Linked DNA regions of Anolis sagrei. The protein of the gene in region 1 purifies or fractionates together with the protein of each later gene. This does not show direct contact. Links are inferred from orthologs where the notes say so. Each region holds a gene or a part of one and is shown in the gene's direction. Other genes may lie near its edges. The genes, in order: PRDX5, PRDX2 and PARK7.

Region 1 (9,719 bases):
ATCACAAGTCGAACCCTTCCCAAGCGTCTAGGACTGTGTGATGTATTATTATTATTATTATTATTATTATTATTATTTTACTGACACAAAAGCACAGTATATCACAGCAAACGAGAGCTATATGCTGGATTTAGTATCACAAAATCACAAGTCGAACCCTTCCCAAGCGTCTAGGACTGTGATGTATTATTATTATTATTATTATTATTATTATTTTACTGACACAAAAGCACAGTATGTCACAGCAAATGAGATCTAGATGCTGGATTTCGTATCACAAAATCACAAGTCGAACCCTTCCCAAGCGTCTAGGACTGTGTGATATTATTATTATTATATTGACACAAAAGCACAGTATGTCACAGCAAACGAGATCTTTATGCTGGATTTCGTATCACAAAATCACAAGTCGAAGCCTTCCCAAGCGTCTAGGACTGTGATGTATTATTATTATTATTATTATTTTACTGACACAAAAACAGTTTGTCATCACAAACAAGATCTAGATGCTGGATTTCATATCACAAAATCACAATCGAACCTTTCCCAAGCGTCTAGGACTGTGTGATGTATTATTATTATTATTGTTATTATTATTATTATTATTTTACTGTCACAAAAGCACAGTATGTCACAGCAAACGAGATCTCTATGCTGGGTTTCGTATCACAAAATCACAAGTCAAACACTTCCCAAGCGTCTAGGACTGTATGATGTATTTTCGAATGATGCGCACAGATCCAAGTCAGGTGGCCTTTTGCAGTTATTATTATTATTATTATTATTAGCTAATGTAATAATTATTATTATTAATGTTATTACTATTATTAGCTAATGTAATTATTATTACTATTATTAGCTAATGTAATTAATAATAATAATAATAATAATGTTGTTATTATTATTATTATTATTATTATTATTATTAGCTAATGTAAGCCAGGCCGGAGATAGATAATATAGAAGGAATGCCAGAGTTCTTTAATTGTGAAACCCTAACCCTTACCCTAATCCTGAACCATACCAGAATCGTAACCCTAACCCCTTACCCAAACCCTTACCCAAACCCTAAACCTTACGCTAACCCAAACCCTAAACCTTACCCTAACCCTAACCGTAAAAGGTAAAGGTAAAGATTTCTCCTTGACATTAAACCTAGTCATGTCCGACTCTGGGGGTTGCTGCTCATCTCCATTTCTAAGCCGAAGAGCTGGCGTTGTCCTCCTAGGTCAGGTGGCCAGCATGACTGCATGGAACGCCGTTACCTTCTCACCAGATCTATTGATCTACTCACATTTGCATGCTTTTCGAACTGCTAATAGCGGACGCTCACGCCACTCCCTGGATTTGAACCGCCGACCTTTCGGTCAGCAAGTTCAGCGGTTTAACCCGCTGTGCCACTGAGCGGCCCTTAATATAATATTATATAAACTGCTAGGTTGGCAGTTTGAAACCCCTAACCCTAACCCCTAACCCTGCCCTAACCCTTACCCCAAGCATCCCCTCCTTTCTATCCTTCCTTTGCTCTCCCCGCTCTCCCTCCGCTCCCTCTCTTCGCTTTTCCCAGCCGCGTTTGCGGCATCTCCGTAACGCTCGGAGCTTCCGTACACACCTATCATACTATCACCGAGTTCTTTCTCTCACCTTGGACCTTCAAAGAACTCTTGTCTGTTGGAGGCAAGTGTGGATGCTGCAATTGGCCACCTTGATTAGCACTGAATGGCCTTGCAGCTTAAAAACTTGGCTGGTTTCTGCCCGGGGAAATAATGTCCAGGGTGGGAGAAAGAACTCTTGTCTGTTGGAGGCAAGTGCGGATGCGGCAATTGGCCACCTTGATAAGCACTGAATGGCCTCGCAGCTTCACAGACTGGCTGGTTTCTGCCTGGGGGAATAATGTCCAGGGTGGGAGAAAGAACTCTTGTCTGTTGGAGGCAAGTGCGGATGCTGCAATTGGCCACCTTGATTAGCAATAAATGGCCTCGCAGCTTCAAAGCCTGGCTTCTTCCTGTTAACACATCCCAACAAAGGACTTCCTCAGGCAGGAAGCAGCTAGGCTTTGAAGATACAAGGCCATTCTTTGCTATAATCAAGATGGCGAATTACAGCATCCACACTTGCCTCCAACAGACAAGAGTTCTTTCTCCCACCACAGATATATCAACCCCATTGTCCTAGTTTCCAACAAACCTCACAACCTCTGAGGATGCCTGTCATAGATGTGGGCGAAACATCAGGAGAGAATGCTTCTGGAACATGGCCAGGCAACCTGGAAATCCTCACAGCAACACAGCGTAGGATTTGCCCCAAATTCCCCATAGATTTGAAGATTATTTCAGCCTTGCGGCTTCAAAGCCTGGCTTATTCCTGTTAACACATCCCAACAAAGGACTTCTTCAGGCAGGAAGAAACCAGGCTTTGAAGGTACAAGGCCATTCAATGCTAATCAAGGGGGCGTGGCCTGGGAACGCCCCGCCCTCACCTGAATGCGAAGAGGGAAGCCGCCGCCGGGCTTCACGCCCCGCACGTGAGAAGTCAGCATGTTGTGCGTCAAAAGCTTCATCCTCGCACGACGCCGGTGGCCGGGCCGGGAAACCGTCTGCGCATGCGTGCCGCCACTCCACCGCTCTAACGCCCCCTTTTTCCTCTCACTTCCGGCGGCTAATTTCGACACACTTCCGGTGAGTTAGTGCAACGCTAATATCGAATGTACGGGAAACCAGATCTAAATGCGACACCGTTCCGGGTTGTAATATTTCATTTAAACCAACATCCCCACTATTTAAATATTTAAATAAATGAAATAAAATATATAAATAAATATAATATTAAAATGCAATGTTAATATAACATATACAATGTTCTATATATAAAATATAATATCAACGAAATGTTTCAATAAAATAATAATTATTTATGATTATTTGTTTGTTTGTTTTAGTAGAATAATGCCCAGGGTGGGAGAAAGAACTCTTGTCTGCTTGAGGCAAGTGGGAATGTTGCAATTGGCCACTTTGATTAGCATTGAATGGCCTTGCAGCTTCAAAGCCTGGCTGGTTGCTGCCTGGGGGAATCCTTTGTTGGGAGGTTTTAGCTGGCCCCGATTGTTTCGTGTCAGGAATTAGATCTTCTTGAACCATTTCTAGAGCATTATACTATTACAATATTATTATATCTTCTTGAACCAATGCCTCGAGTATTATTATATCTTTTTGAACTAATTTTTGATTGATTCTTGAGTATTATTATTATTATACTATACTTCCCTGAACCGATTATTATGATATTATTCTCATATCTAACCCTAATATTTCCTTGCAGCTTCAAAGCCTTGCAGCTTCAAAGCTTGGCTGCTTCCTGCCTGGGGGAATCTTTAGTATTGAATAGCCTTTTAGCTTCAAAGCCTGGGTGGAAATCCTTAGCATTGAATAGCCTTGCAGCTTCAAAGCCTGGGTGGAAATCCTTAGCACTGAATAGCCTTGCAGCTTCAAAGCCTGGGTGGAAATCCTTAGCATTGAATAGCCTTGCAGCTTCAAAGCCTGGGGGGAAATCCTTAGCATTGAATAGCCTTGCAGCTTCAAAGCCTGGGTGGAAATCCTTAGCATTAAATAGCCTTGCAGCTTCAAAGCCTGGGTGGAAATCCTTAGCATTGAATAGCCTTGCAGTTTCAAAGCCTGGGGGGAAATCCTTAGCATTGAATAGCCTTGCAGCTTCAAAGCCTGGGTGGAAATCCTTAGCATTGAATAGCCTTGCAGCTTCAAAGCCTGGGGGGAAATCCTTAGCATTGAATAGCCTTGCAGCTTCAAAGCCTGGGTGGAAATCCTTAGCATTGAATAGCCTTGCAGCTTCAAAGCCTGGCTTCTTCCAGCCTGGGGGAATCCTTAGCATTGAATACCCTTGCAGCTTCAAAGCCTGGCTGTCTCCTGTCTGGGGGGGGGAATCCTTAGGATTGAAAAGCCTTGCAGCTTCAAAAACTGGCTGTCTCCTGTCTGCGGAGGGGAATCCTTAGCATTCAATAGTCTTGCAGCTTCAAAGCCTGGCTGTCTCCTGTCTGGGGGGGGGATCCTTAGCATCGAATAGCCTTGTGGCTTCAAAGCTTGGCTGTCTCCTGTCTGGGGAGGGGAATCCTTAGCATTGAATAGCCGTACAGCTATTGAATGCCTTACAGCATTGAATAGCCTTGCAGCTTCAAAACCTGGCTGCTTCCTGCCTGGGGGAATCCTTAGCATTGAATAGCCTTGCAGCTTCAAAGCCTGTCTGACACTTGCCTGGGGGAATCCTTAGCATTGAATAGCCTTGCAGCTTCAAAGCCTGTCTGCTTCCTGCCTGGGGGAATCCTTAGCATTGAATAGCCTTGCAGCTTCAAAACCTGGCTGTTTCCTGAATGGGGGAAACTTAGCATTGAATAGACTTGCAGCATCAAAACCTGGCTGCTTCTTGCCTGGGGGGAATCCTTAGCATTGAATACCCTTACAGCTTGAAACCCTGGCTGCTTCCTGACTGGATGAATCCTTAGCATTGAATAGCCTTACAGCTTTAAAGCCTTAGCATTGAATAGCTTTGCAGCTTCAAAACCTGGCTGCTTCCTGCGTGTAGAATCCTTAGCGTTGAATAGCCTTGCAGCTTCAAAGCCTGGCTATCTCTTGTCTGGGGGAATCCTTAGCATTGAATAGCCTTGCAGCTTCAAAGCCTGGCTGCTTCCTGCCTGGGGAGAATCTTTAGTATTGAATACCCTTGCAGCTTCAAAGCCTGGATGCTTCCTGAATGGGGGAATCCTTAGCATTGAATAGCCTTACAGCTTTAAAGCCTTAGGATTGAATAGTTTTTCAGCTTCAAAGCCTAGCTGCTTCCTGCCTGGAGGGAAATCCTTAGCATTGAATAGCCTTGCAGCTTCAAAGCCTGGCTGCTTCCTGAATGTGGGAATCCTTAGCATTGGATAGCCTTACAGCTTTAAAGCCTTAGCATTGAATAGCCTTGCAGCTTCAAAGCCTGGCTGCTTCCTGCCTGGGGGAATCTTTAGCATTAAATACCCATACAGCTTTAAAGCCTTAGCATTGAATAGCCTTGCAGCTTCAAAGCTTGGCTGCTTCCTGCCTGGGGGGAATCCTTAGCATTGAATACCCTTACAGCTTTAAAGCCTTAGCATTGAATAGCCTTGCAGCTTCAAAGCCCGGCTGCTTCCTGCCTGGGGGGAGGATCCTTTCAGGGGAGGTTAGCTGGCCCTGATTATTTCCTGTTTTTCTGAGCGTTGTTCTTTATTTACCATGCTGATTTTAGAGGTTGGTTTTTAATACTGGTCGGCAGATTGTGTTCATTTCCACGTGGTTGTACTTCATGCAAATGAGATGCAGATGAGCCACCCCAGGCCCCGCCCCTTGCGTTGGCCCCGCCCCCTGACTACCCGCCCTCCGGAGGGGAGAGGGAGACTTGGGAGGCAGGCCCGGGGTTGCCAGGGCAGCAGCCGTCACTCCTGCGATTTCCATGGCAACGGGGTGGCGAGGGGCGGGGGTGCTGGCTTTGGCAGGCAGGGCTGTTTTGGTGCAGGCCCCACTCCTCGGCATCCGTGGAGCGCAGAAGGGCCGGTATTTCGGGACCGGAGCAGCAGCCATGGCCGCCCTCAAGGTCAGTCGCCTCGGGGCGGGTCCACACCGGAGAGTTAACGCGGTTTGGCCCCTCCGGGAGCCGTCATTAGAGTTGGCAAAGGCTCGAGAAGGGCCTGAGTGAGGCCTAGGCCTGGAATGCCTCCTCAGGAGGCATTCCAGGCCTAGGCCTCACTCAGGCCCTTCTCGAGTTGCATTGACTGTGTGTGAGGCATTCCTCTTAAGGGCTGGAATACCATATTTTGTGTGTGTGTATTTATGTCTATTGTGCATTGTAGTTTCTGCATGTGATTATGTACAGTAGTCTCTTCTCCAACATCAACGAAAATAAGCGAAAATGTGGACTAAAAAGGAGGAATCTGGAGAACAAGCCCTATGAGGAGCGGCTTAAAGAGCCCGAGAAGAAGAGAAGCCTTTCTGTATGGGATTATGTACAGTAGTCTCTTCTCCAACATCAACGAAAATAAGCGAAAATGTGGACTAAAAAGGAGGGATCTGGAGAACAAGCCCTATGAGGAGCGGCTTAAAGAGCCCGAGAAGAAGAGAAGCCTTTCTGTATGGGATTATGTACAGTAGTCTCTTCTCCAACATCAACGAAAATAAGCGAAAATGTGGACTAAAAAGGAGGGATCTGGAGAACAAGCCCTATGAGGAGCGGCTTAAAGAGCCTGAGAAGAAGAGAAGCCATTCTGTATGTGATTATGTACAGTAGTCTCTTCTCCAACATCAACGAAAATAAGCGAAAATGTGGACTAAAAAGGAGGGATCTGGAGAACAAGCCCTATGAGGAGCGGCTTAAAGAGCCCGAGAAGAAGAGAAGCCTTTCTGTATGGGATTATGTACAGTAGTCTCTTCTCCAGCATAAACGGGCCAAGAGCAGAACGTTGGATAAGCGAAAATGTGGAGTAAAAAGGAGGGATCTGGAGAACAAGCCCTATGAGGAGCGGCTTAAATAGCCTGAGAAGACATGAAGAAGGCCAGGGATAAATATGTGAGAGGGAGGAGGGGGAGAACTTGTTTTCTGTTTCCTTGAAGACTAGGACGCGGAACTATGGCTTCAAATATGCCTGCAGGACAAGGACTGTTTACAGACGTCACATGCAACTCCTGGAACGATTCCATGAGCGCTGCCTCCGGAAAATCCTGCAAATCTCTTGGGAAGACAAGCGGGGAAATGTCAGCATGCTGGAAGAAGCAAAGACCACCGGCATTGAAGCAATGGTCCTCCGCCATCAACTCCGCTGGGCTGGCCACGTTGTCCGGATGCCCGACCACCGTCTCACAAAGCAGTTGCTCTACTCCGATCTCAAGAATGGAAAACGGAATGTGGGTGGAAAGGAAAAGAGATTGAAAGATGGGATCAAAGCCAACCTTAAAAACTCTGGCTTCCCAGTTCTCAGGGTCAATGCCAGAGTTTTTAAGGTTGGCTTTGATCCCATCTTTCAATCTCTTTTCCTTCCCACCAACATTCCTTTTTCTTTAAAAACTCTGGCCCTTGAGCACTCCAGCTGGAGGTCAGTTGTGACCAGTAGTGCTGCAGAATTTGAAGAGGCATGAATGGAGGAAGAAATAAACATGCCAAGAGGAAGACGCGTCAAGCCAACCCCAACTGGGACCGCTTTTCACCTGGAAACCAATGCCCTCGCTGCAGGAGAAGATGCAGGTCAAGAATAGGGCTCCATTGCCACCTACGGACCCACCCTGGAGGATTATCCTACGAAAAGAGATTTAAAGTAGTCCACGCTCTGGTTACATCGCGTTTAGACTACTGCAATGCTCTCTACGTGGGGTTGCCTCTGAAGACTGCCTGGAAGCGTCAATCAGTCCAACGTGCGGCAGCCAGATTGCTAACAGGAGCGGGGTACAGAGACCATACGACCCCTCTGTTACGCCAGCTCCACTGGCTGCCGATCAGCTTCTGTGCACAATTCAAAGTGCTGGTTCTGACCTATAAAGCCCTAAACGACTCTGGCCCAGTTTACCTGTCCGAACGGATTCTCCCCTATGAACCATCAAGGCTATTAAGATCTTCCAGGGGGGGCCTGCTCTCGGTCCCACCACCCTCGCAATCACGGTTGGTGGGGACAAGGGACAGGGCCTTCTCGGTGGTGGCTCCCCGGCTTTGGAACTCCCTCCCACTAGAGATCAGATCTGCTCCCTCCCTCCTGACATTCAGGAAATTACTAAAGACATTTGGAATGTGGCATTTGAGGACTGAATCTAGAACCTCCCCCTGTGATGAATTATGATGAACTGTGACTACAAGTATGACTATGACCATGACTGGATTGACGATTTGGCTTAGGTAATTGTGATGATGATGTTTTATTGTACTGTATTGTACTATTTTAATATGTAATGACTTTGCACTTGTTGTTCTTTATATGATTGTATTTTATATATGCTGTAAACCGACCTGAGTCCCTCGTCGAGGTGAGAAGGCCAGTATAGAAAACTTCTAAATAAATAAATAAAGATGGGCTCAAAGCCAACCTTAAAAACTCTGGCATAGACACTGAGAACTGGGAAGCCCTGGCCCTTGAGAGCTCCAGCTGGAGGTCAGCTGTGACCAGCAGTGCTGAGGAATTTGAAGAGGCACAAATGGAGGGCAAAAGCGTACCTGTCCGAATGTATCTCCTTCTATGTCCCATCTTGGAGTTTAAGATCTTCTGGGGAGGCCCTGCTCTCGGTCCCACCTTTAGGCTTGGGCAATGCATGGTTCTAAATGGTTCTAAAGTACTTACAAAACTAAAGTTCTGGTAGTGAAAATTTCAGAACTCTAACAAAACTTTCAAAATTTAATTATTATTTCATTATTGGTGATTTTAATGACAGAACCAATTAGGAACTGCCATTTATTATGAAATTTTGAGAGTTTTGTTAGAGTTCTGAAATTTTCACCACCAGAACTTTAGTTTTGTAAGTACTTTAGAACCATTTAGAACCATGGATTGCCCAAGCCTAAGTCCTTTACCACAAGTGAGACTGGTGGGGACGGGGGACAGGACCTTCTCGGTGGTGGCCCCTCGCCTGTGGAATTCACTCCCCGGGGGAAATTAGGTCATCGACATCCCTCCTCTCCTTCAGAAGGAAGTTGAAAACATGGATATGGGACCAGGCCTTTGGGTAATATGCCAGACCGACAAGGCAATGACGACCAGAGTTTGGAAAGGATAATGCTGAATGGACTTACGGATTTTAGAACTCGGTGAACGTTGGCCACTAGATTGGTTATTCTTTTTAGTTGTTATTGTATTACTTGAATGTTTTAACTGTTTATAATTGTTATATTTTTACTTTGTTGAATGTGGCATCGAATTGTGCAGGTTGTAATCCGCCCTGAGTCCCCCCTCCCCCCCTGGGGGTTGAGAAGGGCGGGGTAGAAATACTCGAAATAAATAAATAAATGGGAGAAACGTGCCAAGAGGAAGGTGCATCAAGCCAACCATGATGAGGACCGTCTTCCAACTGGAAAGTGATGTCCTCACTGCGGGAGCTCCACAGTCCCCTATGGATCCACCACCAAGACAGTACACTTGGAAGGCCATCATGCTCGAACAATGAGGGATCGCCTAAGTAAAGTAAACAAAGAAGAATATCTAGAAAGCCTAGTACTTCTCTCTTTTGGACAAATGTCCTTTTCCTTGCCTTGTTGCCAAGTCGCTGAAATGGACCCAGCCCTGAATCTTTTGTCTCCTCATTTGGACAGGTTGGAGACAAATTGCCCAGCGTGGAAGTCTATGAGGGTGACCCTGGCGCCAAAGTGAACATTGCCAGCCTTTTCAAGGGAAAGAAGGGCATCCTCTTTGGCGTCCCCGGTGCATTCACTCCAGGATGTTCAAAAGTGAGTAGGACTCGGTGTATTTCTCCTTATAGACGCTGAATATATAGTCTTACTTTTCCAGAATCCCACATCTAACACGGTTATGGGACATATTATTTATTTATTTATGGTATTTATATGTCGCCCTTCTCACCCCAAAGGGGACTCAGAGTGGCTTCAAGATATATATATATATATATACACACACACACACATACATACAATATATTATGTTATTAGGATAGTACAATATCAGCAGAGCTCTTCTCTGCTGGAGCTAGGTGTGAATGTTTCAACTG
Region 2 (10,147 bases), on another chromosome or scaffold:
AACGGAGAGGCAGGAGCGCAGGCAGCGCACAGCCTTCTGGGAGTCGTAGTTCGTGGAGCAAAGATGCTGCGCCACCTAAGTGCGGTCCAGCCAGTGCAGAAGCAGAGATGCTGTTCGGGTCCTGTAGAACAGGCATAGGCAAACTTGGGCCCTCCCTCCAGGTGTTTCGGACTTCAACTCCCACAATTTGTAACAGCCTACCAGCTGTTAGGAACACTGGGAGCTAAGTCCAAAGCACCCGGAGGGAGGGCCCAAGTTGGCCCAGGCCTGGTTTAGTCTGCCTGGTTGTCTACAGTAGGAAGTAGCTGACCAATTATAGATAAAGAGGCGCAGATATTACACAGACAATCTACAGGAAAAGAGAATAATGGATCATAATTGAAACTAAAGGCAGGTCAGGCAAAGGAAGAAATTAGATTTGGATAAAAGCAGGCTGTTAATGCTGGAAGAATTGAAGGTTGCCAAAATTTGCTACTTCACCAAAAATGTCTTGTCCAGAGTTTTATTAATCATAGGCTCAGAGGGGTCATTTCTAACACTGGCTACTATTGAAATGGAGTTACAGGCCCCTTCCACGCAGCTGAATAAAATCCCACACTATCTGCTTTGAACTGGGTTATGAGTCCACACTGCCATATATTCCAGTTCAAAGCAGAAAATGTGGGATTTTTCTGCCTTGATATTCTGGGTTTTATGGCTGTGTGGAAGGGCCCTAAGGCCCCTTCTACACTGCCAGAAAATCCAGATTATCACAGCAGAAAATCCACATTATCTGATCTGGATTTTATACACCTATGTAGAAGGGGCCTAAATAATCCAGTTCCAATTAGATAATGTGCATTTTCTGCTTTGATCACCTGGATTATCTGGCAGTGTAGATGAGACCAGGGTCAGACTGAAGCTGAGTTTCCAAGGGGAATATGATGCGATTCCATAGACCCAATTCAAATCCCAATCACCTGACCTGCCCTTTTGACTAAAGCCCCTTCCACACAGAAGAAGAAGAACTTTATTTTTCTACCCCACCTCCATCTCCCCGAAGGGACTCGTGGCGCCTTACATGGGCCCAAGCCCAAAAAACATACAATTAAAACAAGGCAAATAAAAATTAAAAGCGTGTGCAACGAACATCGTAAGCAATAATAAACAGACATCATAAGCAACAACCAGAAATACTTCTAGTCTCGGGGGGGGGGGGGGGGGGGGGGGAGCTGGTGTACAAAGAAGTTGGAGAATAGGCTGGTCAAAAAGATGGATAGAACATATCACAGCATAGGAATACAGCAGTTGTAATAGGATCATTTCAGCTTAAAAATACATTAATCAAATACAGGAACTTCTTTTCAGGCCATCTGTCAAAGGGATCATTTGTCAAAGAGATTGTCAATCGAATGCACAACGGAACATCCGTGTTTTTAGTTTCTTACAAAATGTGGATAGGGAGGGTGCTAACCTGATCCCCCTGGGGAGGGAATTCCAGAAACGAGGGGCCACCATCAAAAATGCCCTTTCTCTCATCCCCACCAACCATGTCTGAGACAGAGGTGGGAGTGAGAGAAGAGCCTCCCCAGAAGACCTTAGAGACCACGTGGGCTCGTAGGGGAAGATAAGGTCATGAAGATAGACAGATCCCACATTATTTGCTTTAAACTGGAATATATGACAGTGTAGACTCAACCCAGGGCCCTTCCACACAGCCCTATAACCAAGATTATCAAAGTAGGAAATCCTACAATATCTGCTTCCACACTCAAAGCAGATCTTGTGGGATTTTCTGCCTTGATATTCTGGTATATAGGGTTGTGTGGAAGGCCCTTATAGAGATCAACACAGTCAATGGCACTGCAAACCAAGAGTTTTAACAGTACCAACTAAACCACACTCCCCCATATGTATCACATTAATCCAACAAGGCATCAAAGCCATCTCTCTCCCACAGCTGGGCCTGAAACCAAACTGAATTGGATCTAGATAACATGCCTCATCTGTGTTGTCTCTGACAAGTCTCATCTGTGATGATGCTATGAAGCTGTTAGACCAAGCATGAAACCTACTCTGGCTGGTAGAAGCTCTTTTTGGCCCTGTTCCCCTGAGATCCTATTAGGTTTTAGAGGCAAGAAATGCTCTGAACTGAGATTTTCTCAATACAAGGCAGATTATTAACTACTGAAGCATGTTTTTCTTTTGCTACCCTACCCTGCACCCACAGCATTGTTTTAAAATTCACAACATAAAAATGATGGCGGTAATTTTTCACAAAGCAACTGAATAAATCTTGCCACATAAATGCTATATTAGGGTTGTCACAAGTCAGGCTCAACTTGAAGGCACATACCAACAACAAATCCATGGGAGAGAACTCAAGAAAGGTGTTACCCCCATACATTTCTTGCATGCATGGAATTTCAGAGGTATGAATGACTCTCTGTGTAAGGTTCCTTTCTTTGTTTTTCCTGGCTAGTCTCTTATACTTTTGTTCAAACGAAATCCAGCTGATGAAGTTTTCTGAGCATACCGAGCAGACATTCGCCTAAATGCTATTGTTAGTGTCAACAAGTGTAGATCCATTGAGGCCCCTTCTACACGGCCATATAATCCAGATTAACTGCTTTGAACTGGATTATATGGCAGTTCAAAGCAGATAGTGTGGATTATCTGCTTTGATAATCTGGATTATATGGCAGTGAAGAAGGGGCCTTAATCAGCGGGGTTCCTCTGGTCCCTTCCACACAGCTGAATAAAATCCCACATTTTCTGTTTTGAACTGGGATATGTGGTAGTGTGGACTCAGATATATAACTCAATTCAATGCAGATACTGTAGATTATATGCCTCGATATTCTGTGTGGAAGGGCTGTCAGTTGACTCACTGCTCTACTAATTATTCAATGGTTCTGAGTTCCTTGTAGAAGTACCGTAAAGATGACTGTCATCTTGTGGTGACCCCATGGATTTCACAGGGTTTTCTTAGGCAAGAGATACTTAGGGCCCTTCCACACAGCCATATAATCCAGAATATCAAGGCAGATGATCCACAATATCTGCTTTGAACTGGACTATCTGAGTCCACACTGCCATATAATTCAGTTCAATGTGGATTTTATACAGCTGTGTGGAAGGGGCTTTTGTAAAGAGTACCTAGTAGCATTTGGGTCAAGATGTACAAGGCATCCGTAACCAGAGGTGATGGATGAGGCTGCCATTGTTTCTAGAAGGAAATTTAGCATCATGGGCTAAAGTCCAACACTTCAGCTTAGACATGTAAAGTGATGCTGAGTTTGACCTGTTGAATGCCTTTCATTATCGCAATACAGTTTGGGTTAGTAGAAACTAACCTAACCCTTCCACACAGCTGAATAAAATCTCACATTATCTGCTTTGAACGGGGATATATGGCAGCATGGACTCAGGGCCCTTCCAGACAGGCCTTATATTCCAGGACCTATCCTAAATTTTCTGTTTATCCCAGATTATATGGCAGTGGGGACTCATATAATCCAGTTTAATGCAGAAAACCTGGGATCAGATCCTGGGATAGAGGGCCTGTCTGGAAGGGTTCTCAGATAACCCCGTTCAAAGCAGATATTGTGGGTTATTCTGCCTTGTTATTCTGGGCGCCCTTCCACATAGCCCTGTATTCCAGAATATCAAGGCAGAAAATCCCCCAATATCTGCTTTGAACTGGGTTATCTGAGTCCACACTGTCACACTTTATATTCTTTGTTATATGGCTGTGTGGAAGGGCTCCAAGTCCACACTGCCATATAACCCAGGTCAAAGCAGATAGTGTGGGTTTTTCTTCAGCTGTGTGGAAGAGGCCTTAGGGCTCTTTCACATAGCCATACAAAACAGAAGATCAAGGCAGAAAATCTCACAATATCTGCTTTCAACTCGGTTATCTGAATCCACACCGCCATATATTCCAGTTCAAAGCAGATGTGGGATTTTCTGCCTTGATATTCATGGATAATAGGCTGTGTGGAAGGGTCCTTAGTAATATGGTTGTGTGAAAGGGCCTTAGGGGTGCTTTTATCCTGTTGAATGGATGCAGCTTGACACCACTTTCACTGCAAGGACTCCATGCCATGTAATTCTGGGATTTGTAGCTTGGTGAGGTACCAGCATTCTTTAGCAGAGACCTTGTAAAATGACATATTCCAGGGCCCTTCCAAACAGCCCTATATCCCATAATATCAAGGCAGGAAACCCCACAATATCTGATTTGAACTGGGTTATCTGAGTGTGGACTCAGATAACCCAGTTCAAAGCAGATATTGTGGGATTTCCTGCCTTGATATTATGGGATATAGGGCTGTGTGGAAGGGCCCAAAGTAGAACTTGTGGGCATGTCTCTCACAGCATCTCAAGCCTATATAAACATTCAAATGTAATGAACCATAGTCCTGAATCGTTCAAGGTCCTAGTTCTAGAGGTGGTTACATCCTCCTCAAACACAGATTTATCTACTAGACTACAACAATGTGAAGCCTTCTGGATTTTTACTCTTAAAACTGTGCATCCTAAGGGACTAAACGATTCCATTTCATTTCAGTGTTTTATGTGAACCGGTGCATGCCTCTTTAAACAGGTTTTTTCTTATGAGTAACTTACTGTTGATGACTGGGATACATCCACACTGATAGCTATACCAGGCCCTTTTAAATTTCTCTTCATATACTTTAAGTTTCTCTATATATCCTGGAGTTTCTACCTGTTTCTCCTGGGCTTGCCATAGAATCATATTAATAGCAGAGCACTTTTGTAGGAGAACTTATGTGAATATTTTTTGTTCCTGTTCTGTATGCTTTCACAACATTTGGTAATTGCTCTCGTATACTATGTGTTTTAGCCACTCATATTTGTTCACTTTAGGACCACATCATTATTGACATTAATATACTGACTCTACTTGAAGAATTCTCCACTTGGTAAAACTGACTATTTGTGGATTTCTACGTGTATCAACTATCACCTGACGAAGATTTCACGTAGTCAAAACCGGTTGTGGTTTATAAACTGTGGATTCCAAAAGGACTGATAAACTTTGATTTGCTGTTGACAAACTTTGGTTAAAGAAGGACTAACAAACTTGTTCATTCTGCTGTAGGAATCAGCTGTTTACTCACATCAAGAAGTTCTGGATTAAGAGACTTGCAAAAAAGACTTGCAAACTTTGATTTGTTATTGAGAAGTGTATTGTAGGTCCTTTTTGGTTTTCAAAAGGACTGATAAACTTTGATTTGCTGTTGACAAACTTTGGTTTCAAAAAGAACCTACAAACTTGTTCATTTTGCTGTAAGAATTAGTTGTTTATCCCACATAAGGAATTTTTTTGGTTTATAGAATTACATGAAGTATACTTTGTACGAGATGCTAGTACATTTAATGTTATAGTACTATAAGCATAGATATGATATACATTATTCTGATTATATATAACTGCATTACTTTTTGGTGTATAGTGGCCTTCTGCCCTTGTATTTCGGGGAATCCTTGCTCTCCACTGTGTGGAAGGGTCCCCAGGATGCTATAGAATTGAGCCCTGGCGGTGCACAAATTGCATTCATGCTACAGTGCTGCACCCTGGGTGCAATTCCACAGGTGCTGCTGGCTTTGTCCCCCAAGGATCCCAACCCATCCCTTGGGTCGCGTGCGCCGCGTGAAGGGGCCTGGCTCAGGCCCCGCCCACCGGCCCCAAGCCCCGCCCACCCCCTGCCATCCCGCTTGCTATAAAAGGGCCGCCGCCTCCTCCTGCGCCAGGAGTGGTCCAGGTTCGCCGGGTGTCTTTTGAAGTCGGCTTGAGTGAGGTAAGGCGTGGATGGGCGGTTGCTCCAGTGCAGGGGCTTGGCTGCAGGTACATTGTTCCGAGGTGCGAGGCGTCCCCTCCGAGAGGCCTGGCGGTGGGCCTGTGAAGGGCCTTCCTTTGCCATCCGCCTTCTTCTCCCGACTTTGCTGGGTCTTCGTTTCCCGCGTGGACCGGCCTTTCAGTTCCAGCGCGTGACGCCAGAATGGGCTGCTGCTGCTGCTCCTCCTGGCAGCCAGGCCTCGTACGCCTTTGTCTCAAAGAGGAGACAGAGGAGGAGGAGGAAGAGGGGGGGCTTTCGGAGGCGGCCCTCCTTTTGCAAAAAAGCGAGGCTGGTGGTGCTCCTTTTGTAGCCCTCCTTTCGTTTCGAGGAGGAGGCGGGGAAGGCCTCCTTGCTGCTAAGCTGTCTTACTAAGGGTCCTCCTTTTATAGCTCCTTTCTCTCCAACGCCCAGGCCGCACGTGCAAAAGCTCTCTTGTAGGGTGCATCCACACAGCCGAATTAATGCAGTTTGATCACCCTTTGGACTGCCAAGACTCCATGCTATGGAATCCTGGGATTTGTGCTTTGGTGATGCAGCCAGACCTTGTGAAAGTGCAACACCTATAGCTTTTGAGTCAAACTGCATCTATTCCACAGTGTAGATCAGACATGGGCAAACTTGGATCCTCCAGGTGTTTTGGACAGCCTATTAGGAATTGTGGGAGTTGAAGTCCAAAGCACCTGGAGGGCCCAAGTTTGCCCATATCTAGTGTAGAAGGACTCCTAATCTGAATCCCTCATTGAATACTGCTCCTACGAATAAGCTACTCCCCTTGGGGCTCCAGGCAAGGTGTCTAAGCTCTTAAGCTCATTGAAAAGGCCCTGAAACAGAGCTTTGAGAGAATGATTGAATTCTTGCATTCTTTTTAACTGAAAGTGCAGAACAAAAATTTCAGGTGTGCAGTTGGGTTAGGGACACTTTCAAGTACTATTGAAAGAGATGAATGGAAATGGGGCCCCTTTGGGACTCTTTATCTCAAATGGGTTAGATCGGGCAAGGGCAAACTTGGGCCCTCCAGGTGTTTTGGACTTCAACTCCGACAATTCCTAGCAGAAGATCGGGCCCTTTCCTTTAAGCAGCTGAGGGGGGAAAGAAAAGGGGCCCAAGGCTGCTAGGAATTGTGGGAGTTGAAGTCAGAAACACCTAAAAGGCCAAAGTTTGCCTATGCCTGGGTTAGATGGTGGAGTAGTTGGACAAAGGCATCAAGTGTGGGTTGATGTCTGGGATTGCATCTACACCATGGCGTTAATATAGTTCAATACCACTTTAATTGCCAAGGCTCAATGCCATGGAATCATAGTTTATTTCAAGGAGAAGTATAAAGACCTTGTAAAACCACGACTCCTGTAATATTGAGCCATGGCACTTAAAGTGGGGCCAATTTATATTAATGTAACTGTAGAACAGGCATGGGCAAACTTTGGCCCTCCAGGTATTTGGACTTCAACTCCCACAATTCTTAACAGCAAGTAGGTTGTTAGGAATGGTGGGAGTTGTAGTCCAAAATACTCAGAGGACCAGAGTTTGCCCATGCCTGGTGTAGAATGAGGTTATGCATTGTTACAGCTTTGAGTCCCCCCAGGGGTGAGAAAGGTGGTATATAAATACTGTAAATAAATAAATAAGAAAATCACCCCTGGATTTTTTATCTCCTTATCCTTCAGGCTCAAAACTAGAGTCACAATTCAGTGAAATCTCCCCATTTCTTGCCTTGTTCACACTGGCTGTGCCAGTAGCTGCAGATCGGATTAAGCACACAATGGCGTTGCCTTGTCTTCCTCCAGACTTCACCCATTTAAGCCGGTAGGGGCTGTTAGATTACTCTGCAAAGCCTCCTCCTTGATCTGGAGGACTCTGATAAAGGCTTTTGCAACACCCCTCTCCCCATCTTGAGATTACTTGTTTGTTATCTAAGGCTGTCAAAATACCTTTCTCTTTAAGGGATTTAAAGAGCAGGGGCCTGCCACTCACTGATGAGGCCTAGGTTGTTGCACTTAAGCCTTAGATAGGGTTGCACCACAGCTTAGTTTCATAGCACACTGCACTGTTGTTGCACTAATTTAACTGCTGCGACAGCATCTTGTGGAATCCTAGGATTTGCAGTTGGTAGGCATTTACAGCCCAGAAAGTTATTGGACCCCATTAAACTATAAACCCCAGACTTCCTCGAGATGTTACCTTGGTAGTTAAAATTGAATATACTGCTATAATAGTGTATTGTGATAAAGACTTTAGCTCTGAAATGTGTTGGATATTTTGAGACAAGACTAAACTATGGGCCACATGTCCAGCACCCAAACCACCTGCTACAGAGGAGAGGATTGTGGAAGAAAGAGTCTTGGATGTTGGTCTAGTTCTGACTTTGGGATGCCCAACCAAAGTCACTTTGGGTGTATCTAGACTATAGAATTAATGCAGTTTGACACCACTACAACTGGCTCAGTACTCTAAAACCCTGGGATTTGTTGTTTGTTGAGTCATCAGCACTTTTGACAGAGAAGGCTAAAAGCCTTGAGAAACTACAGCTCTCCATAGCATTGAGCCATTGCGGTATATAAGTAAGGTAAATAAATAAATAAATAAATAAATAAATAAATTGCAGTTAAAGAGGCCTGCATCAATAGGAGTCTAGTGTCTAGATTCAGGGGAGTCATGCTACACTTCTGTTCTGCCTTGGTCACACCACATCTGGAATACTGCGTCCAATTCTGGGCACTACAATTGAAGGAGATGTTGACAAGCTGGAATGTGTCCAGAGGAGGGCGACTAAAATGATCAAGGGTGTGGAGAACAAGCCCTATGAGGAGCAGTTTAAAGAGCTGGGCATGTGTAGCCTTCAGAAGAGAAGGCTGAGAGGAGATATGATTGCCATGTCTAAATATGTGAGTGGAAGTCATAGAGAGGAGGTAGCAAGCTTGTTTTCTGCTGCCTTGGAGACTAGGACGCGGAGTAATGGCTTCAAATTACAGGAAAGGAGATTCCACCTGAACATGAGCAAGAACTTCTAACTGTGAGAGCTGTTCAGCAGTGGAACACTCTGCCCCGGAGTGTGGCAGAAGCTCTTTCTATGGAGGATTTTAAATAGAGGCTGAATGGCCATCTGTTGGGGGTGCTTTAAATGCAATTTTCCTGCTTCTTGGCAGAATGAGGTTGGACTGAATGGCCCACGAGGTCTCTTCCAACTCTAGGATTCTATAGGTATCAAACTACATTAATTTTACAGTGTCAAGGCACCCTCTTTGTCTATTAGTTCTTTCTCATCAGTGCAGTTTCTCAAAGCGCTTTCCAGCATAACGATTCCTGGTGGTGATAATGTTCCTTTTTCTTCTGTCCCAAGTTGCTAACACGGTGGGAAATCTTTTCCCAACACGAGTGAAGTGAAAAGTCAACAAACTAGTCCTAGCGGTTCCTGTCTCCACCACAAGTAGGCCTTTTGCAAGGCTGGGGAATATTTAATGCCCATTCAACATCATACTCCAGAATAATTTGCTTTGGAGCAATAGGGCTTCCAATATAGATGCTGGGGTTGCTTAATATGCATAACGGAGCTGGACCTCTTTCTGAAGTTGCCAAAATACTGAATGAGTCACGATTCTTTGGAGAATTTTGCAAGCAGCTTGAGCTAAACTATATAGAAATCTCTGCTCATGCAAGTTATGCCAAGAGAAATGAGAGGAGAATGCAAAGTGTGAATAATAAGGCATAAATGTCCAGGGAAATATATCCTTAAATTTGAGTTGTGAACTACTTTGAAGGCCAATCTTTTAAGGGTATAAATACATTAGACTTTCCAGTGGAGAAATATCTTGATCTGGAGGAATTAGAATAAGTTACTTGTCTGCTCTTGATGCTTGTGTCCTTTGGGCCTAGTTTGGATTTATTCTATGTTGAAATAGGAGTTCTGTGGTGCTGTCTGTAGAAAACAAGTTACATTTGTCTTAAGCATAGCTTGAGAGGACTGCTTATTATATTAATGAGTTAGTTAGTGCCTGTCTGCCATCTGTTAGCCAGAAACGGCAGTATTGTGGAAGATGTGGTTGTGTGAGTAAGTTCTTGCTGCTGTTGCTTTCAGTATCTCATCTTCCTCTTCATGTTCCTACATGCTGATTGGAAGGAGCAGGGGTTTATCTTGTTGAAAGCTGCATTTACATTGCTGTGCTCATGCATTCAGCCCTAATATTGCAAAAAGCAAGGAGAAACGTGAGAAGGTGAAGGAATGGGGCTTGGCCTACATGAAAAGTTGTGAAACCCAAGCAGATATTGAAGTCACAGAGAGAAACTCTGCTAACAGTATAAAGCAG
Region 3 (10,404 bases), on another chromosome or scaffold:
TCATCTCTCTCTCTCTCCTGCTTACATCTCTCTGTCTGTCTGTCTGTCTGTCTCTGTGTCTCATCGATCAATCATCTGCCTATCTATTTACTTCTATGTATCATTTATCTATTGATCTATCTATCTATCATCTACCTATTAATCAGTCTGTCTCTATGTATCATCTATCTATCTATCTATCTATCTATCTATCTATCTATCTATCTATCTACCTACCTACCTACCTACCTACCTACCTATCTATCTATCTATCTATCTATCTATCTATCTATCTATCTATCTATCTATCTATCTATCTATCTCTATGTACGATCTATCAATCAATTAATCATCTCTCTATTTATCTCTAAGTATCATTAATCTATCAATCTGTCTCTATGCATCAGCTATCAATCTATCTGTCTCTATGTACCATCTCTATGGATCTATTTATCTATCAATCTGTCTGTCTCTATGTATCAGCTATCTATCGGTCTCTTTAGATCATCTATCAATCATCTGTCTATTTATCTCTATGCATCATCTATCTATCTATCTATCTATCTATCTATCTATCTATCTATCTATCTCTATGTATGATCTATCAATCAATTAATCATCTCTCTATCTCTATGGATCTATTTATCTATCAATCTGTCTGTCTCTATGTATCAGCTATCTATCGGTCTCTTTAGATCATCTATCAATCATCTGTCTATTTATCTCTATGCATCATCTATCTATCTATCTATCTATCTATCTATCTATCTGTGTGTCTCAGTGTATCATGTATCAATCATCTATCTATCTATTCTCTATGTATCATTTATCTATTAATCTGTCTCTATCTATCTATCTATCTATCTATCTATCTATTAATCATCTGCCTATTTATCTCTATGAATCATCTATCTATAATCTCTCTGTTTATTTCTATGTATCATTTATCAATTAATCTGTCTGTCTCCATCTATCTATCTATCTATCTGTCTGTCTGTCTGTTTGAATGTATCATCTATCAATCATCTGTCTATCTATCTTTATGTATCACCTACCTATTAATCAATCTGTCTCTATCTATCTATCGATCTATCTATCATCATCTATCTATTAATCTATCTGTCTCTATGTATCATCTATCTATCTGCCTGTCTCTTTATATCATTTATCAATCATCTGTCTATCTATCTCTATTTATCACCTACCTATTAATCAATCAGTCTGTCTCTATGCATCAGCTATCTATCTGTCTATCATCTCTCTATTTATCTCTATTTATCATTTATCTATTAATCTGTCTGTCTCTATCTATCTATCATCTCTCTATACGTATCATTTATCTATTAATCTGTCTCTATCTATTATCTATCTGTCTGTCTGTCTGGATGTATCATCAATCAATCATCTCTCTCTCTATGTATCTCTCTGTCTCATTTATTGGGGATCCCCCAGTAGCGGTGGGTCAAAGCACTGAGCTGCTGAGCTTGTTTACTGAAAGGTCACAGGTTCAAATCCGGGGGGGGGGGGGATGAGCTTCCGCTGTCAGCCCCAGCTCCTGCCAACCTAGCAGTTCGAAAACATGCAAATGTGAGTAGATCCATAGGTACTGCTCCGGCGGGAAGGTAACGGTGCTCCATGCAGTCATGCCAGTGGCCACATGACCTTAGAGGTGTCTACGGACAACGCTGGCTCTTCAGCTTTGAAACGGAGATGGGCACGACTGGACGAGTGCCTGTCTCAAGGGATTGGACGGGAAGATTCTGGGGGGTCCTCCGCCCCTCCCTCGTTCTTTCCCCCCTCTCCTCCCTCCCTCCTTCTCTGTCTATGGGGCAGGGGACCCCTCCCATTCTCTTACTGGAGGGGCTCCTTGGGTCAGGCTGGGTGGGGGCCCCCAGCTCCGGCTGGCAAACCACGTCGCTCTCCTCGGTCCCAGGCGTCTGGATCCGCAGGCCGGGGGGGCACCTGCGGAGGAGGAGCAGACAGGATTTAGCGGGGGGCGGGGGGGGCACAACCATGACTACCAGGGGGGCACGACAACAACGACACACAGGTCCACAGCCACTTAGCCCACTTGGCTGCTTGTATTTTTTTATTACAAAAGTGTGAGTCAAGCACTGTTAGAGTTAGTGAGCCAAATCGAGTGTTGTCCTGAGGAGTGTGAGGTAAACCTCTGTGTGAGAGAAGCCTCGTCTTACAATTCTATTGTTGGTGGGGTCCAGAATGGTCTTTGGTTGTAGGTGAACTATAAATCCTTGCAACTACAACTCCCAAATGACAACATCAACCCCCCAAATCTAGTGTTGTCCTGAGGAGTGTGAGGTAAACCTCTGTGTGAGAGAAGGTCTCTGTGGGAGAAGGGCCTGAGTATGAGAAGGCCTCAATGTTAGTTCACCTCAGTGGGAGAGAGCCCTCAGTGGGAGAGAGCCCTCAGCGGGAGACAGTTCTCAATTTTAGTACTCCTCAGTAGGAGAGAGCCCTCAGTGGGAGAGAGGTCTCAATGTTAGTACGCCTCAGTGGGAGAGAGCCCTCAGTGAGAGCGAGCCCTCAGTGGGAGAGAGGTCTCAATGTTAGTACGCCTCAGTGGGAGAGAGCCCTCAGTGGGAGAGAGCCCTCAGAGGGAGACAGTTCTCAATGTTAGTTCACCTCAGTGGGAGAGAGCCCTCAGTGGGAGAGAGCCCTCAGCGGGAGAGAGGTTTCAATGTTAGTTCACCTCAGTAGGAGAGAGCCCTCAGCAGGAGAGAGGTCCCAAAGTTAGTTCACCTCAGTGGGAGAGAGCCCTCAGTGGGAGAGAGGTCTCAATGTTAGTTCACCTCAGTGGGAGAGAGCCCTCAGTGGGAGAGAGGTCTCAATGTTAGTACACCTCAGTGGGAGAGAGCCCTCAGTGGGAGAGAGCCCTCAGGCTGAGAGAGCCCTCAGTGTAAGGTAGGCCTCAGTGTGAGGTAGGCCTCAGTAGGAGAAAGTCCTCAGTCTGAGAGAGCCCTCAGTGTGAGCAGGCCTTGGTGGGACTCACCGGCTCCAGGGGCGGCAGGGTCCTGAGGTCCCGTTGCTGAACTCCCCTTTGGGGCAGCGTTGGCAGCCGCCTGGCAGAGAAAGCAACAAGGAAGGGGGTGTCACGCAAGGAAGGGGGGTCCCACTGACACCATCCCCATCTCCCCCCCCCCACTGACCTCTGACCTTTCTTGGTGGGCTGCTGACCGTTTGGACAGTCGCACCGGACGCAGGTGTTGCCCCCGCACTCTCTTCCCGGGGGGCATCTGCAGACAGCGTTGGCCTCGGGGCCACAGGGACGCAGGTAGGAACGCCCTTCTGAGGCAGGAAGGAAGGAAGGAAGGAAGGGGGGGAAATGCAGAGGGGCTCACCAATCAATCAATCAATCAATCAATCAATCATAATGATTTTGTTTACACCCCAAGGAAGGACTCACGGTCACAGACGTCACAGGGGAGGCAGCCCTCGAGGGGGTCACGGTAGGAGCCTAAGGCAGGAAAGAAGAAGGTGAGGGGTTCTAAGCAGAGTCCGGATGGCCATCTGTCGAGAGGGGTCAGGTGCGGCCCTAGGGAATTTTCAGTCCCCCAACCAATCAGTGATATATATTTTCTGTTCATCGTCGTGGGAGTTCTGTGTGCCCTGTTTGGTTCAATTCCATCGTTGGTGGAGTTCAGAATGCTCTGTGATTGCAGGTGAACTATACATCCCAGTAACTACAACTCGCATACGTCAAGGTCTATTGCACCCCTGGGCAACATCAACTCTACCGCGACTGCTTACTTTGCGTAAGGGTTGCGCCGCCCCTGCCTCCCTGGCTTGTTTACATGGGTAAGGCTCCATGTCCCTTCGGGTCGCCTCTGCTGGCGTTCCTTAAGTAGAGCCTGGATGGCCATCTGTCGGGAGGGATCGAATGGTACCTTCCTTTAGGGCAGAAAGGGGTGGGACTAGATGGCCTTGAGGGAGCCCTGGAGAGAAATATACTCTGGGTGTGTCCCCTTCCCTGGAGGCTTTGAAGGAGAGGCTGGATGGCCATCTGTCAGGAGGGATCGAATGCTGCCTTCCTTTAGGGCAGAAAGGGGTGGGACTAGATGGCCTTGAGGGAGCCCTGGAGAGAAAAAAACTCTGGAGGTGTCCCCTTCCCTGGAGGCTTTGAAGGAGAGGCTGGATGGCCATCTGTCAGGAGGGATCGAATGGTGCCTTCCTTTAGGGCAGAAAGGGGTGGGACTAGATGGCCTTGAGGGAGCCCTAGAGAGAACTATACTCTGGAGGTGTCCCCTTCCCTGGAGGCTTTGAAGGAGAGGCTGGATGGCCATCTGTCGGGAGGGATCGAATGGTGCCTTCCTTTAGGGCAGAATGGGGTGGGACTAGATGGCCTTGAGGGAGCCCTTCCAACTCTAGAGATAACTATATTCTGGAGGTACCCTCTTCACTGGAGGCTTTTACATAATGGGCTGGATGGCCATCTGTCGAGAGGGATCGGGTGGGTAAGGCTGGATGCCCTTTAGGGACCCCTCTGCTGGGTTTTTTTTAATTGAGTCTGGATGGCCATCTGTCGGGAGGGATCGAATGGTGCCTTCTAACTCTACAGAGAAACATACTCTGGAGGTGTTCCATTCTCTGGAAACTTTTCAAAGAGAGGCTGGATGGCCATCTGTTTGGGAGTGATCGGATGGTGTGCTTCTTTGTGAGGTCTCTTCCAACTCTAAGATCCTATCTCTCTATTATTATTATTATTATTATTATGCAGAGACCATCTATTACACTATCTATTATCACTATTATTATTATTCAGCAGAGGCTGGGTGGCCATCTGTCAGGAGTGATTGAGTGGTGCCTCCCTCCCTGAGTAGTTTACATGGGTCAGATGGCCTTTAGGGACACAGTACTTTGCTGGCATTCCTTTCTCTGTAGGTTTCTAAGCAGATTTTTGGATGGCCATCTGTCGGGAGGGATCGAATGGTGTGCTTCTTATTCAGCAGAGGCTGGGTGGCCATCTGTCAGGAGTGATTGAGTGGTGCCTCCCTCCCTGACTGGTTTACATGGGTAAGAACAGATGCCTTTTAGGGACACAAGAGAGAAATATACTTTGCTGGCATTCCCCTCTCTGTAGGTTTCTAAGCAGAGGGTTGGATGGTCATCTGTCGGGAGGGATCGAATGGTGCCTCCCATCATTATGATTATTATGATTATTATTAAATGGCTGTTAGGGCCCCAACTCTATGTAGAATTATATTTTGGGTGCGTCCCCTTCCCTGAAGTCTTTGAAATAGAGTCTGGATGGCCATCTGTCGGGAGAGATCGAATGGTGCCTTCCACTATTATGATTATTATGATGATTATTATTATTATTATTACTAAAGGGCTTTTAGGGCCCCAACTCTATGTAGAATTGTATTCTGTGTGCGCCCCCTTCCTTCCCTGGAGGCTTCGAAGTAGAGCCTGGATGGCCATCTGTCGGGAGAGATCGAATGGTGCCTCCCATTATTATTATTATTATTATTATTATTATTACTACTACTACTACTACTAAAGGGCTTTTATGGCCCCAACTCTATGGAGAATTATTATACTCTGGACGTGTCCCCTTCCCTGGAGGCTTTGGAGTAGAGTCTGGATGGCCATCTGTCGGGAGGGATCTAATGGTGCCTCCTATTATGATTATTATGATGATTATTATGATTACTAAAGGGCTTTGAGGGGCCCAACTGTATGGAGAATTATTATCTTCTGTGTGCGCCCCCTTCCTTCCTTCCTGCCTTCCTTCCTTCCTTCCCTGGAGGCTTTGAAGGGGAGCCTGGCTGGCCATCTGCGGGGAGGGATCGAGTGGTGCCTTGGTTGAGGGCAGAAAGGGAGGGACTCACCTTCCGGGCAGGGGAGGGCGCCCACCCGCAGGAGCATCATCATCATCAGCAGAAGCCGCACCTCCCTCCCCAGCATCATCTTCCAACCGAGTGGGACCCACTCCGCGGGCGGGGGCCCTTTAAGGGGCGCGCGTGGGCTAAAGGGGAGGTCCTTCTCCCAGGAAGCCCCGCCCCTACTTCAAGGCCACGCCCCTTCAGCTGTCTCTCGCGCGCGGGGGAGGCGTGGCTTCGTGCCTGCCTCTAAATCCCCGCCCCTTTCTCTGTGGCCCCGCCCACTCCCGAGCCAGCGGAGGTGCGCATGCGCAGTTGAGAGGCCAGGCCTGAGCGGAGCCTGAGGGGCAATCCGGGCAGGAAGGTCCGCCATGGCTTCGAAGCGGGCGCTGGTGATCCTGGCCAAAGGCGCCGAGGAGATGGAGACCGTCATCCCCACAGACCTCATGCGCAGGGCAGGGGTGAGGCCCCCTCGGAGGGAGGGAGGGAGAGCGAGAGAGGGCCGCAGCACACTGCGCATGCGCGCCCAGGGGAACTCGAGGGGAGAGGGGGCCGCAGGCCACTGCGCATGCGCGCCTGGGAAAGAAGCCAAGCTTCCTTGGGAAGATCTATTTTTGGAGGTTGGAGGGTGGCCATCTGTTGGGAGGGCTCTGACTGTGCGTCTCCTGCCTGGCCGAAGGGGTGGGACTAGATGCCCTTTGGGGGTCTCTTCCAACTCTAGAGAAGTATAGGCTGGAGACCTGTGTGTGTGCAAATATAGTGTATATAGAGTGTTATTATTATTATTATTATTATTATTATAACTTTATTTGTCCCCCGCTAGCATCTCCCGAAGGACTCGATGCGGCTTACACAGGCCAAGGCCTCAAAACACAACATCACAATACAACACCTAAAGCAAATCAAAAACAGTTAAAGAAATATTAAACAACAAGCAATAAACAATACACCGAGACACAATAAGACTGGGCCGGGTCAGAGTAATGGGTACAGGATTAAAAGTGCTGCTGTGACAGGTGGTCTGTAAGGCTTATAGGGCAAATGCAATGTGCAATGTGCAGTAATCTTTGTTTCTTCTAAAGTACTTCTGGGACTTGGTATTGGAGTTTTCCTATTCGGGGAAGGCACATCAGAACAGCCAGGTCTTCAAGTTCTTCCTAAAGACTGCCAGCGAAGGGGCCTGTCTAAGATCTTTGCGGAGGGAGTTCCAGAATCGGGGGGCCACCACGGAAAAGGCCCTGTCTCGCGTCCCCACCAAACGCGCCTGCGATGCAGGCGGAATCACGAGCAGGGCCTCTCCGGATGAACGAAGTGAACGCGTGGGTTCATAAACTGAGATGCGGTCACACAGGTAGGCTGGTCCCAAACCGTTCAGGGCTTTGTAGGTGAGCACCTGCACCTTAAATTGGGACCGGAAAATAAACGGCAGCCAGTGGAGCTCCCTAAACAGGAGAGTTGACCTCTCTCTGTAAGGAGTCCCAGTTAGCATCCTGGCTGCTGCCTGTTGGACCATCTGGAATTTCCGAGCCGTTTTCAAGGGCAGCCCCACGTAGAGTGCATTGCAGTAGTCCAATCTGGAGGTGACCAAGGCATGGACCACTCCGGCCAGATCCACCTTCGCGAGGTATGGTCGCAGTTGGCGCATGAGTCTCAATTGTGCAAAAGCCCTCCCGGACACCGCTGACACCTGAAGCTCAAGCGTAAGCGATGAATCCAACAGGACTCCCAAACTGCAGACCTGTGGCTTCAGGGGGAGTGTAACCCCGTCCAGAACAGGTTGCCACCCTATACCCCGGTCAGGTTTGCGATCAACCAGGAGGACCTCTGTCTTGTCGGGATTGATCTTCAGCTTGTTCCTCCTCATCCAGACTGTCACAGCAGTCAGGCACTCGTCCAGCACTCAAGGGGCCTCCTTGGAATTAGGTGGAAAAGAGTCGTAGTGTCATCTGCGTAGAGGTGGCACCCAACTCCAAAACTCCGGATGACCTCTCCCAGTGGTTTCATGTAGTTGTTAAAGAGCATGGGAGACAGAATGGAGCCTTGCGGGACCCCACAGGTCAAAGGCCAGGGGTCCGAGCAGGCATCTCCCAGCTTCACTATCTGGGATCAACCCTCCAGGAAGGACCGAAGCCACGACAAAACCGTGCCCCCGAGACCCATCCCAGAGAGTCGTCCCAGAAGGATACCATGATCGATGGTATCGAAAGCCGCTGAGATGTCCAAGAGAACCAACAGGGTCACACTCCCCCCGTCCAGATCTCCCAAGATTCCTTGGGAGTCCCTCCGGATCCATCATACATAGTATTAACTTTATTTGTACCCCACTAACATCTCCCGAAGGACTCGGTGCGGCTTACATAGGCCAAGGCCCTCAATAAAACAACAGCATAACAAATACACAATAATATATATATATGTCTATATAGTACATGAAGTGTATAAGCAGTGTTTACATATAATAGGTATAGTATCCACCCATCTCTCTGTCTTTCTTCTTTCTCCCCCAGATCTCGGTGACCGTGGCCGGCCTGGCGGGGAAGGAGCCCGTCCAGTGCAGCCGCGACGTGGTCCTGTGTCCGGACAAGAGCCTGGACGAGGCCCGCAAAGAGGTCGGTCCTTCCAAGGAACAACCCAGTCGAAAAAGACCCCGAAGAGGGCCACCCCGCCCTCCCCTTCTGCTTTAAAGGCACCCTCCTAACAGCCATAGATATGAAGGGGGTCTGCTCTGTTATATGACTTGTCTATCATAGAATCCCCGTGTTGGGAGAGAGTAGAGGCCGGGTGGCCACCTGTCGGGGGTCAGAATGGATGGCCCTTGGGGGTCTCTTCCAACCCGGGAAGCCTTGCCCGCTGACTTCTCTTCTCTCCTTTCCTTCAGGGGCCGTACGACGTGGTGGTCTTGCCGGGAGGAAACCTGGGGGCCCAAAACCTCTCAGAGGTAAGCAGGGGCCAATGAGAAATACATTAAAAAGGTTATTATTATTATTATTGTCTTGTTGAAGCCTCTTGTTTATTATTTATTTGCAACCTTTCTATGCCGCCCTTCTCACCCCGAAGGGGACTCAGAGCGGCTTCCAAGGTATAGATTACATACAATATCTTATACAGGGTTAGTCAAACTGAATAGGCCACAGTAGGTTACAGTAAACATACATATTGGCCTATTCATTTTGACTAACCCTGTATTATTAGCGCAGTACAATATCAGCATTACACATTGCTATATTGCACCATAACACTATATCGTAATATGATCAGTAATATTAATTATATTAATATTAGTATGATGGCTTATCCAGGCATATCTTATTAGTATAGTACTGTATTTATTATTATTTTGGTATATTATATTATTTATTATTACTAATAATATTATGTTAAATATATTAATATTAGTATGATGGCATATCCAGGCATATCTTATTATTATAGAGCTGTATTTATTATTATTATTTTAGTATATAAGAGAAGGAAGGAAGAAGGAAAGAGGTAGAAAGGAAGGAAGAAAGGAGAGAAAGAGGAAAAGGAAAGGAAAGAGGGAGCAAAGAAAGAAAGAGAGAGAGAGAGTGGGAAGGAAAGACGGAAGGATGGAAGCAAAAAGGAAGGAAGGAAAGAGGCAGAGAAGGAAAGAGAAAGAGGAAAAGAAAAAGGGGGAAGGAAAGAAAGAGGTAGAGAAGAAAGGAAGGAGAGAAGGAAAGAAAAAAGAAATGAAGGAAAGAGGAAGTGAAGGAAGGAGAGAAAGAAGGAGGGAAGACAGAAGGAAGGATGGAAGCTAAAAGCAAATGAAGGAAGGAAAGGGAAAGGAAAAGAAAAAGGGGGAAAGAAAGAAAGAGGCAGAGAAGAAAGGAAAGAGAAGGAAAAGAAAAAGAAATGAAGGAAAGAGGAAGTGAAGGAAGGAGAGAAAGAAGGAGGGAAGGAAATATGGAAGGAAGAAAGGAAAGAGGTAGAGAAGGAAAGAGAAAGGAAAAGAAAGGGAGGGAGGAAAGAAGTAGAGAAGGAAATAGAGAAAGAAGTAGAGAAGGAAGGAAAGACAGAAGGAAGGATGGAAGCAAAAAGCAAAGGAAGGAAGGAAAGAGAAAGAGGAAAAGAAAAGGGAAGGAAAGAAGGGTAGAGAAGGAAAGAAAAAAGGAAAGGAAAGAGGGAGCAAAGAAAGAAAGAGAGAGGGAAGGAAAGACAGACGGATGAAAGCTAAAAGCAGATGAAGGAAGGAAAGAGAAAGAGGAAAAGAAAACAAGGGAAGGAAAGAAAGGTACAGAAGAAAGAAGGAAAGTAAAAAGGAAATGAAGGAAAGAAAGAAGTAGAGAAGGGAGAAAGGGAGGGAAGGATGGAAGCAAAAAGTGAAGGAAGGAAAGAGAAAGAGGAAAAGAAAAGAGGCAGAGAAGAAAGGGAGAAGGAAATGAAGGAAAGAGGAAGTGAAGGAAGGAGAGAAAGAGGTAGAGAAGGAAGAAAGGAGAGAAAGAAGGAGGGAAGACAGAAGGAAGGATGGAAGCAAAAAGCATAGGAAGGAAGGAAAGAGGCAGAGAAGGAAAGAGGAAAAGGAAAAGGGGGAAGGAAAGAAAGGTAGAGAAGAAAGGAAGGAGAGAAG

What was found.
Region 2: the proteins of PRDX5 (region 1) and PRDX2 fractionate together in Homo sapiens (co-fractionation; 3 studies listed by BioGRID). This does not show direct contact. The link is inferred for Anolis sagrei from reciprocal best matches to the Homo sapiens genes PRDX5 and PRDX2.
Region 3: the proteins of PRDX5 (region 1) and PARK7 fractionate together in Homo sapiens (co-fractionation; 3 studies listed by BioGRID). This does not show direct contact. The link is inferred for Anolis sagrei from reciprocal best matches to the Homo sapiens genes PRDX5 and PARK7.

The regions. Positions count from the first base shown.
Region 1 is NC_090032.1:16,792,492-16,802,210, forward strand, and holds the start of PRDX5 (peroxiredoxin-5, mitochondrial), read left to right. Parts: upstream 1-5,395; 5' UTR 5,396-5,478; coding exon 5,479-5,619; intron 5,620-9,306; coding exon 9,307-9,441; intron 9,442-9,719. Other genes in the region: TRMT112 (multifunctional methyltransferase subunit TRM112-like protein), read right to left, coding at 2,480-2,560. UniProt on the Homo sapiens protein: Thiol-specific peroxidase that catalyzes the reduction of hydrogen peroxide and organic hydroperoxides to water and alcohols, respectively.
Region 2 is NC_090022.1:111,620,345-111,630,491, forward strand, and holds the start of PRDX2 (peroxiredoxin-2), read left to right. Parts: upstream 1-5,694; 5' UTR 5,695-5,807; intron 5,808-10,147.
Region 3 is NC_090033.1:20,478,798-20,489,201, forward strand, and holds the start of PARK7 (Parkinson disease protein 7), read left to right. Parts: upstream 1-6,112; 5' UTR 6,113-6,190; coding exon 6,191-6,280; intron 6,281-8,326; coding exon 8,327-8,428; intron 8,429-8,697; coding exon 8,698-8,757; intron 8,758-10,404. Other genes in the region: TNFRSF9 (tumor necrosis factor receptor superfamily member 9), read right to left, coding at 1,835-1,941, 2,990-3,059, 3,154-3,285, 3,404-3,454, 5,829-5,907. UniProt on the Homo sapiens protein: Multifunctional protein with controversial molecular function which plays an important role in cell protection against oxidative stress and cell death acting as oxidative stress sensor and redox-sensitive chaperone and protease.